2 linked regions of the Stegostoma tigrinum genome follow. The protein of the gene in region 1 purifies or fractionates together with the protein of each later gene. This does not show direct contact. Links are inferred from orthologs where the notes say so. Each region holds a gene or a part of one and is shown in the gene's direction. Other genes may lie near its edges.

Evidence for each region. The genes of interacting proteins can lie anywhere in the genome.
Region 2: the proteins of lats1 (region 1) and sav1 purify together in Homo sapiens (affinity purification with western blotting; 3 studies listed by BioGRID). This does not show direct contact. The link is inferred for Stegostoma tigrinum from reciprocal best matches to the Homo sapiens genes LATS1 and SAV1.

Annotation. Positions count from the first base shown.
Region 1 is NC_081357.1:93,730,428-93,734,178, forward strand, and holds the start of lats1 (serine/threonine-protein kinase LATS1), read left to right. Parts: upstream 1-1,034; 5' UTR 1,035-1,118; intron 1,119-3,140; 5' UTR 3,141-3,272; coding exon 3,273-3,665; intron 3,666-3,751. UniProt on the Homo sapiens protein: Negative regulator of YAP1 in the Hippo signaling pathway that plays a pivotal role in organ size control and tumor suppression by restricting proliferation and promoting apoptosis.
Region 2 is NC_081363.1:44,308,769-44,312,519, reverse strand, and holds the start of sav1 (protein salvador homolog 1), read left to right. Parts: upstream 1-1,518; 5' UTR 1,519-1,621; coding exon 1,622-1,715; intron 1,716-3,751. UniProt on the Homo sapiens protein: Regulator of STK3/MST2 and STK4/MST1 in the Hippo signaling pathway which plays a pivotal role in organ size control and tumor suppression by restricting proliferation and promoting apoptosis.

The DNA of each region.
Region 1 (3,751 bases):
TTTCAAATAAAGGTGACGAAACGTCTGAAAACGAACCTTCCAGCTCAGCGAGCAAACTCACATCCAGAGCCATGTTGTCTATACATAATCAGTCCTTCCCTTTCCAAATATATGTAAACCCTGTCCCTCGGGATTGCCTACCACTGATGTCAGGCTCACCAGTCCGTAACTCCCTGGCTTTTCCTTTGGTTTCATTTCTTCCCTGATTCCACTGATGGTGCAGCCTTCTCTTAGTGTTGCACTGAACTCAGACTCTTGAAATATTATTCTGGGATATGTATTATGCAGAACATAACCAGCCATGTTCAATGCTACAGATCAGTAGTTTTCAAACAATGTGTTGCGAGTACTGTCCAAGGGTGTCATGAATTTTTGTAAAATTGAAAATCAATTCAAACAGATTTTCTTTCACCTTAAACAATTCTGTATCCTACCAAAATGGCAACCTATAAACTAGTGAAAATTAATCATATCAAAAGTATGGTATCAGCTTCTTGATTCTAAGGCCTGAACCCCTTTAAACAGGCATAAGGGCAGAATTGAGAAGACGTGAAAAGCAGAATTGTTCTGCCTCATTGAAGTGTAACAGTGGCTGAAAGGGGTGTCAATTAGATCAGTTGGCTGGATGGCGATGCAGAGTAACATCAACGCAGTGGGTTCAATTTCCTCGCTGGCTGAGACTAGCACGAATGTCCCCACCTTCTCGACCTATCCCCTCTGGTACCCACAGCAGTCATCTCTGTCTAACGAGAGAACAGCTTTGTGATTCCTCTGGGACTGAGGAGATAGTAGAAACTGGAGGTGCTGGAGAATCTGAGATAACAAGGTGTAGTGCCGGATTCACACAGCAGGCCAAGCAGCATCAGAGAAGCAGGAAAGCTCATAATTCTTGCCTCGACCCTCTTTTTTTTCTGAAGAAGGGTCTATCTTGATTTCTGTTAGTCCTATGAACGTACACACCAAGCCGTTTGGTGGAGTTGGCGGCAGTGACTCCTCCTGGCCCGAGGGGGCGATAAACACCCACTCACGCAGACTGTGTCTATGATCTCGCGGGAGGAGATGAGCTGCGTTTCGGAGAGTCTAACGAGCGGCCATTGTGGGATTACGGTTTCTGTGGGGTAGGTAGATTGGGGATTGACTGCTGACCGGGGTGATAAAACAGGATGTTCTGTTTATTTCCTTATATCCCGCTGAGGGCCGTGGGGAGTGGGTCGCCGATCCTGGGTGGAGGTGCAATTGGTAGTGAGAAGGCAAGAAGATCCCGAGTCTAAAATGGCCGTGGGGCCTAAAGGAGAGATCGTGGGCAGGAAGAGTCCTGGACACCGAGCTCCGGTTGCAGGCCTAGCTTCCCGCGGCGGGCTCGGGGTTTGGGTCCGGTCTCTTATCGCAGGCCTCGTGCCTTAGAGTCGAGTCGGGTCGGGGGTGGGGGTGCTTGCTGACGGTCGTCGTCCTTTTGAATTATCGAATTAATCCCACTCTCCCGCTCATCTCTCAACACCGCAGTTTCTTCCCTCTTCAGTTTTTATTCACTTCCCTTTCGAAAGCTATGTACAGTTCATTTCCACTAATGTTGCATGCGGCAAATATTCCAGAGCATCATTTTTCGCTGTATAAACTTGCCCAATAATTTTTGCCTCTGATTCTTTTGTCGGTTACTTTAAGTCTTTGTCCTCTAGTTGTAGTTCCTCCCTGCCAGTGGAAACAGCTTATCCTTATTTAGTTTGAACCCTACTTAATTGTGAACATATCTGTTATATTTTCTTTACTTTCTCTGCTGTAGAAACAACAATGCAGCAGTTTTCTTAAGTAAGCTACTTTATTGATAGATGCATGAGGCTGACTCACTATTTAAGGTTGTGATATTAGCCTTGACCATTTCAAAAGATTTACAAGAAACAATAAACTTGTGTCAATTGAGCAATCATGTGGATGGTGCCCTATTTTGCTTTGTATCAGTTTGATGGTATATAGTTTGCACAAATAAACGTTTCAAAGTTGCAGACAGTAATCCAAAACTTCAATGCGATGAGTATGTGACATTCATAAAAGCCTTGTTTAAAGAAAAAATACTCCAATACAGTTCAAGATCCTAATTATCTTGTATTTTTTACTTTTTAAACGAATGTGTGAACAGACAGGGAATGGAGGATATGGACTATGTGCAGGTTGATGGGATTAATTTAGAATGCATCAAGGTTGGCCTAGAAATGGTGGGCCGAAGGGCCTTTTCCGTGCTGTTCTGTTTCTGTGTCAGACTGATACTGTGTGAAAAGTAAGTTGGCTTTCTGCTTCTGGGTGGAGTTATAGAGCAATGTGAAAGCTTTGTATTTCACGTTAATGTGATTTTTCATCTGATAGTTACCAAGTATCCATATGGTAAGTGATGATAAATATTGAGGATCAAATTAGCTGTTCAAAGTGGAGAAAAAATTTTATATTTCAAGGTCTGTTTCTGTGATAATCAAATTTTTAAGTCTGTTGTTTTACAATCACTGTATTTGCTGGAAAGGCATTGATGATGAAAATGTCCATATACATGATTTGTTTTGTCCCAGCTAGCTGAGCAGTCCAGATATGATCCTTGTCTTTTGTAATTATTCTGTGTGTTATTCTTTTAACATGCTACAGGTGATGAATTGTCTCTGTGGAATTGCTTATTTGCAGAGTAGTATGCTTCTGAAGCCTACAGATAAAGTTTGCCACAGATTGATCTTGCGGGGGAGGCCATAGATTTTGTTTAGCCTCTAGGTCTTTGTTTATTCTCTCCATTTAACCCAATGAATGTTTCTGCTGTCAGTTGATGTGAATTAACTGCTGCTGTTGTGTGGAAAAGTGCAGTGCTGGCACCCTCTGTCACCCTGTCACTGCATCCTCTGTCCCCACAGTATGACAGCACCAACAGACAGGTTATCCTTTGAGATATCTTAAAACGTGAGATACTTTAGGAGAGTGAATAAAAAGATGCTGGCAACTAGGAATCATTATGAATTTCTTTATAGAAGTGAGCTTTACTTTTGGTTTTGCATTAGTCTGAAGTTCAGTTAGTTTTGTAGACATACTTTTATGAGTGGAACATATTTGCATAATTTATGTTAAATGTTGATTTGTTTGACCTAATGCCTTTGTTTATTATGTTTCAGTTAACTGGATCTTGTAAATGTGCAGATGAGTAGAACAACAACGTCACAGCTGAGGGTCTTCAATATCTAACACAAAGCCAAGATCTCCTTTAACCTGCTAGAACTTCCGTAAATTACTGTAAACGTCTGTAAATGAGCCAAGATTGGTTAGTTTGTGCCGACAACTTCATGAAGAGAGGAGAGAAGCCTGATGGACATAGACAAATGAGGCCCAAAACATTCCCTGCCAGCAACTTTTCTGGGAGTAGCCGCCAGATGTTGCAGGAAATCAGAGAAAGTCTCAGGCATTTACCCAAACCATCAGGGGATGCTGGGAGCATTGATCAAAGTATGATGAAATTGGGTGCAGAAGATTCAAGACAACAAGGCCGGAATGCTCTTAAATTTGTCACTTACCAAAAAGCCTTGCAGGAGATCCGGAACTCCCTGTTGCCATTTTCAAATGAGTACAGTTCTTCAGTTCGTGGTTTCACGGATGTAAACAAACAGATGTTACAGGATTTAGTAAACGCAGGGTTTGATGAGGTGAGATCTATACAAGTGGAACGTTGTGAATTCCGTCAAAATAAAAATCAAAAGAACTGTGGATGCTGTGAATTCGGGAACAAAAA
Region 2 (3,751 bases), on another chromosome or scaffold:
CACTAGTGTTCAACTGACTTGGCCCCCTTTTTGCTCGCTTAATTTCTTTTTTAAGTTTCCCCACGCATATTCTGTTTGTGTCTGACAGTGCTGGCATGACCTCTTCCGATACTGGAATAAAATAATGATTCCGCTTAATAAAACCGAAAGAACTGTGGACGCTCTAAATTAAAATCAAAAACAGAAAATGCTCGAAGAGCTCAGCAAGTTTGGCAGCATGTGTGAAGAGAAATCAGAGTTAATGTTTCGGGTGAGTGATCCATCCTCAGAACTGATGGCAGCTAGGAGAATGTTGAAGATCAGTGAGACAGACAAAGGAGTGGATAACGATCTGTCTAGCAGGGTGAATAGCTACTCATGGGGGCTGTTCTTCTCACCTTAAAAATATACTCTCTAGTGTTGAAATCCCACACTGTAGTGAAAAGACACCTGCCGTTCAACTTATCTACACCCTCATTAATTTTATGAACCACCATAAGGTTACCCCTCAACCTCCTTCACTCCAGTGAAAAAAGTCCCAGTCTATCCAGCTTCTCTTTATAACTCAACCTGGCAACATCTTGGCAAATCTCTTCTGAACTATCTCCAGCTTAATAATATCCTCCCAGTAACAGGGAGACCAGACTTAAATGACACACCTTATAGATAGTCAGCATCATCATTTTTCTACTGATGGCTTCATGTGCTCTGGCAGTGCAGCCTACGATATCTTGAGCTTGTCCTTTTCAATCACGCTTTTTTTTCCACTTCAGGGCATGAGAGTCCCAAATGAGCTGTTCTGTTTCCTTGAAGACACATTTTCTGCTTGTATTTTTCAATTTTAAGAAATGCCCAGTTTCTGCCTCACTTTGGTGATTTTTCTCAACTTTTAGCACATCCCTCAGCCCCACATCCCAGCACCTTTGGATAACCTGCATTTGGCTGGTTGTCTGTTGCTGTTCATCAGTAGACTGCAGTGCAGTAGTAAATGTACCATCTTGGGATATGTATTCACAACGCAGCTCTTTACAAATAATATAACACCAGATATGAGTGCATCGTGCTAGTGGTTAGGAGCTGGATATTAACAAACAGAGAAAGTGAGAGTCTCTGTCATTCAACGATCTGATTCAAACCCATACTTCTGCCTAAACCCTATAACCTTTTCATCCTGTGATAATGGGAACTGCAGATGCTGGAGAATCCAAGATAATAAAACGTCAGGCTGGATGAACACAGCAGGCCCAGCTTTTGTGCTCCTGAGATGTTGCTGGGCCTGCTGTGTTCATCCAGCCTCACATTCTATAACCTTTTCATCCTTTTTGTTTAACAAGAATTGACCATTGCCTTTCCGATGAAGGGTCTAGGCCCGAAACGTCAGCTTTCCTGCTCCTAAGATGCTGCTGGGCCTGCTGTAGTCAATCAGCTGGTACTCAGCTGCTTAGCACCAACGCAACACAACCTCGCGCAAAACCCCTTGTCGAGCAGTGCGCATGCCCAGCCTTGCCCCCACCCCTCCCGCTTCCCAGCATTCTGCGGGCAGGCCGGCCGGCTGGGATTTCGCTTCTGCCTCTGATCTGATGAGCTCCGCTTAGTATGTGGGTCCCGCCATGTTAGAGGGGCGGAGTGCTTCTTTAAAGAGATGTTATCGAGGAAGAAAAGTAAAAACGAAGCGTCCAAACCGCCGGAGGTGCAGGGCAAGTACGTGAAGAAGGAGACATCTCCACTGCTAAGGAGTAAGTTCTGGGTCGGGGCCCGTTTTGAAGTTCCCTGAGCGGCCCCCGTTCACCACCGCCGCCCCCCCATCCCGCCCGCCTTTACGGGGGCTCCACACTCTTAATGTTTTGATGCATCTTACATTTGTTTGTCTTTTAAGTAAAGCATTGGTCCATTACTGTTGTGGTGATAATTATTAATGAGACTTGCTATTTCCTAGTTGAGGATAGCGATGAATGAGGAGAGGGATGTTGGGTATGGATTGGCGGGCGGAGCTTCTGATGGCATTTAATGTTGTCGTTGAGGTTTCATGCAACAGTTATGACGAGCTTTTTTTTCTTTAACAATTTTCACAGTTTTGTTTTAGTTGCAAAGTCGGGGCACTTTATTTTCAGCAGACGACTAGCTTTTACCTGCTGGTCTCCAAACCAAAAAGTTTTTTTTGACGGCGTGAAATCCCTCCCCAATCAAGTCTGAAAGAGGGTTTCAGCCGTGGTAAATTTGAGACTGGAATATAGATGGGTGACGTTACGAAGAATGAAGTAATTGGTTTTTGATGGGGAGCATATAGAGTCGGTTCAGGACTTAGGTGCCAAATTTGCCAGCAATTTCGTTCACCCTGGATTAGTGGCCAGGTGGGGTTTAGAGTTATATCAGAGATAATAGGAACTGCACACGCTGGAGAATCCGAGACAAAGTGTAGAGCTGGATGAACACAGCAGGCCAAGCAGCATCTTAGGAGCACAAAAGCTTTTGTGCTCCTAAGATGCTGCTTGGCTTGCTGTGTTCATCCAGCTCTACACTTTGTCTGGGGTTTAGAGTTGTGATGGCATGTTAGACATCTGGCAATGGAGAGATTGCAAAGTGGTGAGATAGTGAATCAAAAGAGTGTAAAAAGCATTCCCACTTATCTGGATAGTGAAGGAGTTGCATTAGAGCAAGATGGTGTGGTCAACAATGCCCTAAGTTCTAGGTGATCTAAGGAGGCTGATGGGTGATTGTGCAGCACAGTCACAGATGTACTTTGTATTGTTTTTAGTACTGTAGCAGGTGATTCAGAAATAGTGTTGTAAAGAAGCTGGCTAATGATTTTTGGCAGAAGCATTGAAGAAGAAAAAAGAGCAGGAGTGTCAACTTGTGTGAACACTGTCTAAAGGTAAGAAAATCGGAAGGCTGCTGAGTTTCCGTAAAATTTCTGAAGGGTAAATGTGTTAATTCTGCTTTCTCTCCACAGATGCCAGACCTGCTGTGTTTCTCCAGCAATTTCTATTTTTGTTTGGTTTCTGAATCAATTGTTCTTTGTTTCAATTTACTGTCCAAGGGTAGGTTTTTTGAGGTGGAGTTTTAATAATTGTAGGTTTGGAAATGTGGCAAGAAAGTGAGATTGGAGCTGTGTATAATATAATGAAGCATGTGAGTAAGTACTGGAAAATGGTCGTCAACAATTTAACAGGAAAGGGATTTTGAAATCATGATGATCTGAGTGTGGGCAAGTTGAACTCAGGCAGGACATGAAAAGAGACTGTAAGGGAGAGTCTGCAAAGTCAGCCTAGGGATCAGAATGGAAAAGATGTTAGATTAGATCCTGGTCAGTTTGCTGATTGGAAAAATGAGGGAAGAGGACAGCAGCCAGAGTTGCTGTTCACAGCAAGCAGCAGTGAATATCTTTTGATCTTTTAGGGGGAAAGTTATAGGTTTGATTTTATGATTCCCACTTATCTGGATAGTGAAGGAGTTGCATTAGAGCAAGATGGTGTGGTCAACAATGCCCTAAGTTCTAGGTGATCTAAGGAGGCTGATGGGTGATTGTGCAGCACAGTCACAGATGTACTTTGTATTGTTTTTAGTACTGTTTTAGTATTGTTTTTGGAAAAATGAGGGAAGAGGACAGCAGCCAGAGTTGCTGTTCACAGCAAGCAGCAGTGAATATCTTTTGATCTTTTAGGGGGCCCAGCCCTAAAGGAACCTGCGGCAGGTTCATCTGGTTCATTTTGCTTCTAGCAGGAGCTGTTAAGCCTGAAAAACTTTGTATTAAAAGTTGCTTAGGCATTACAGA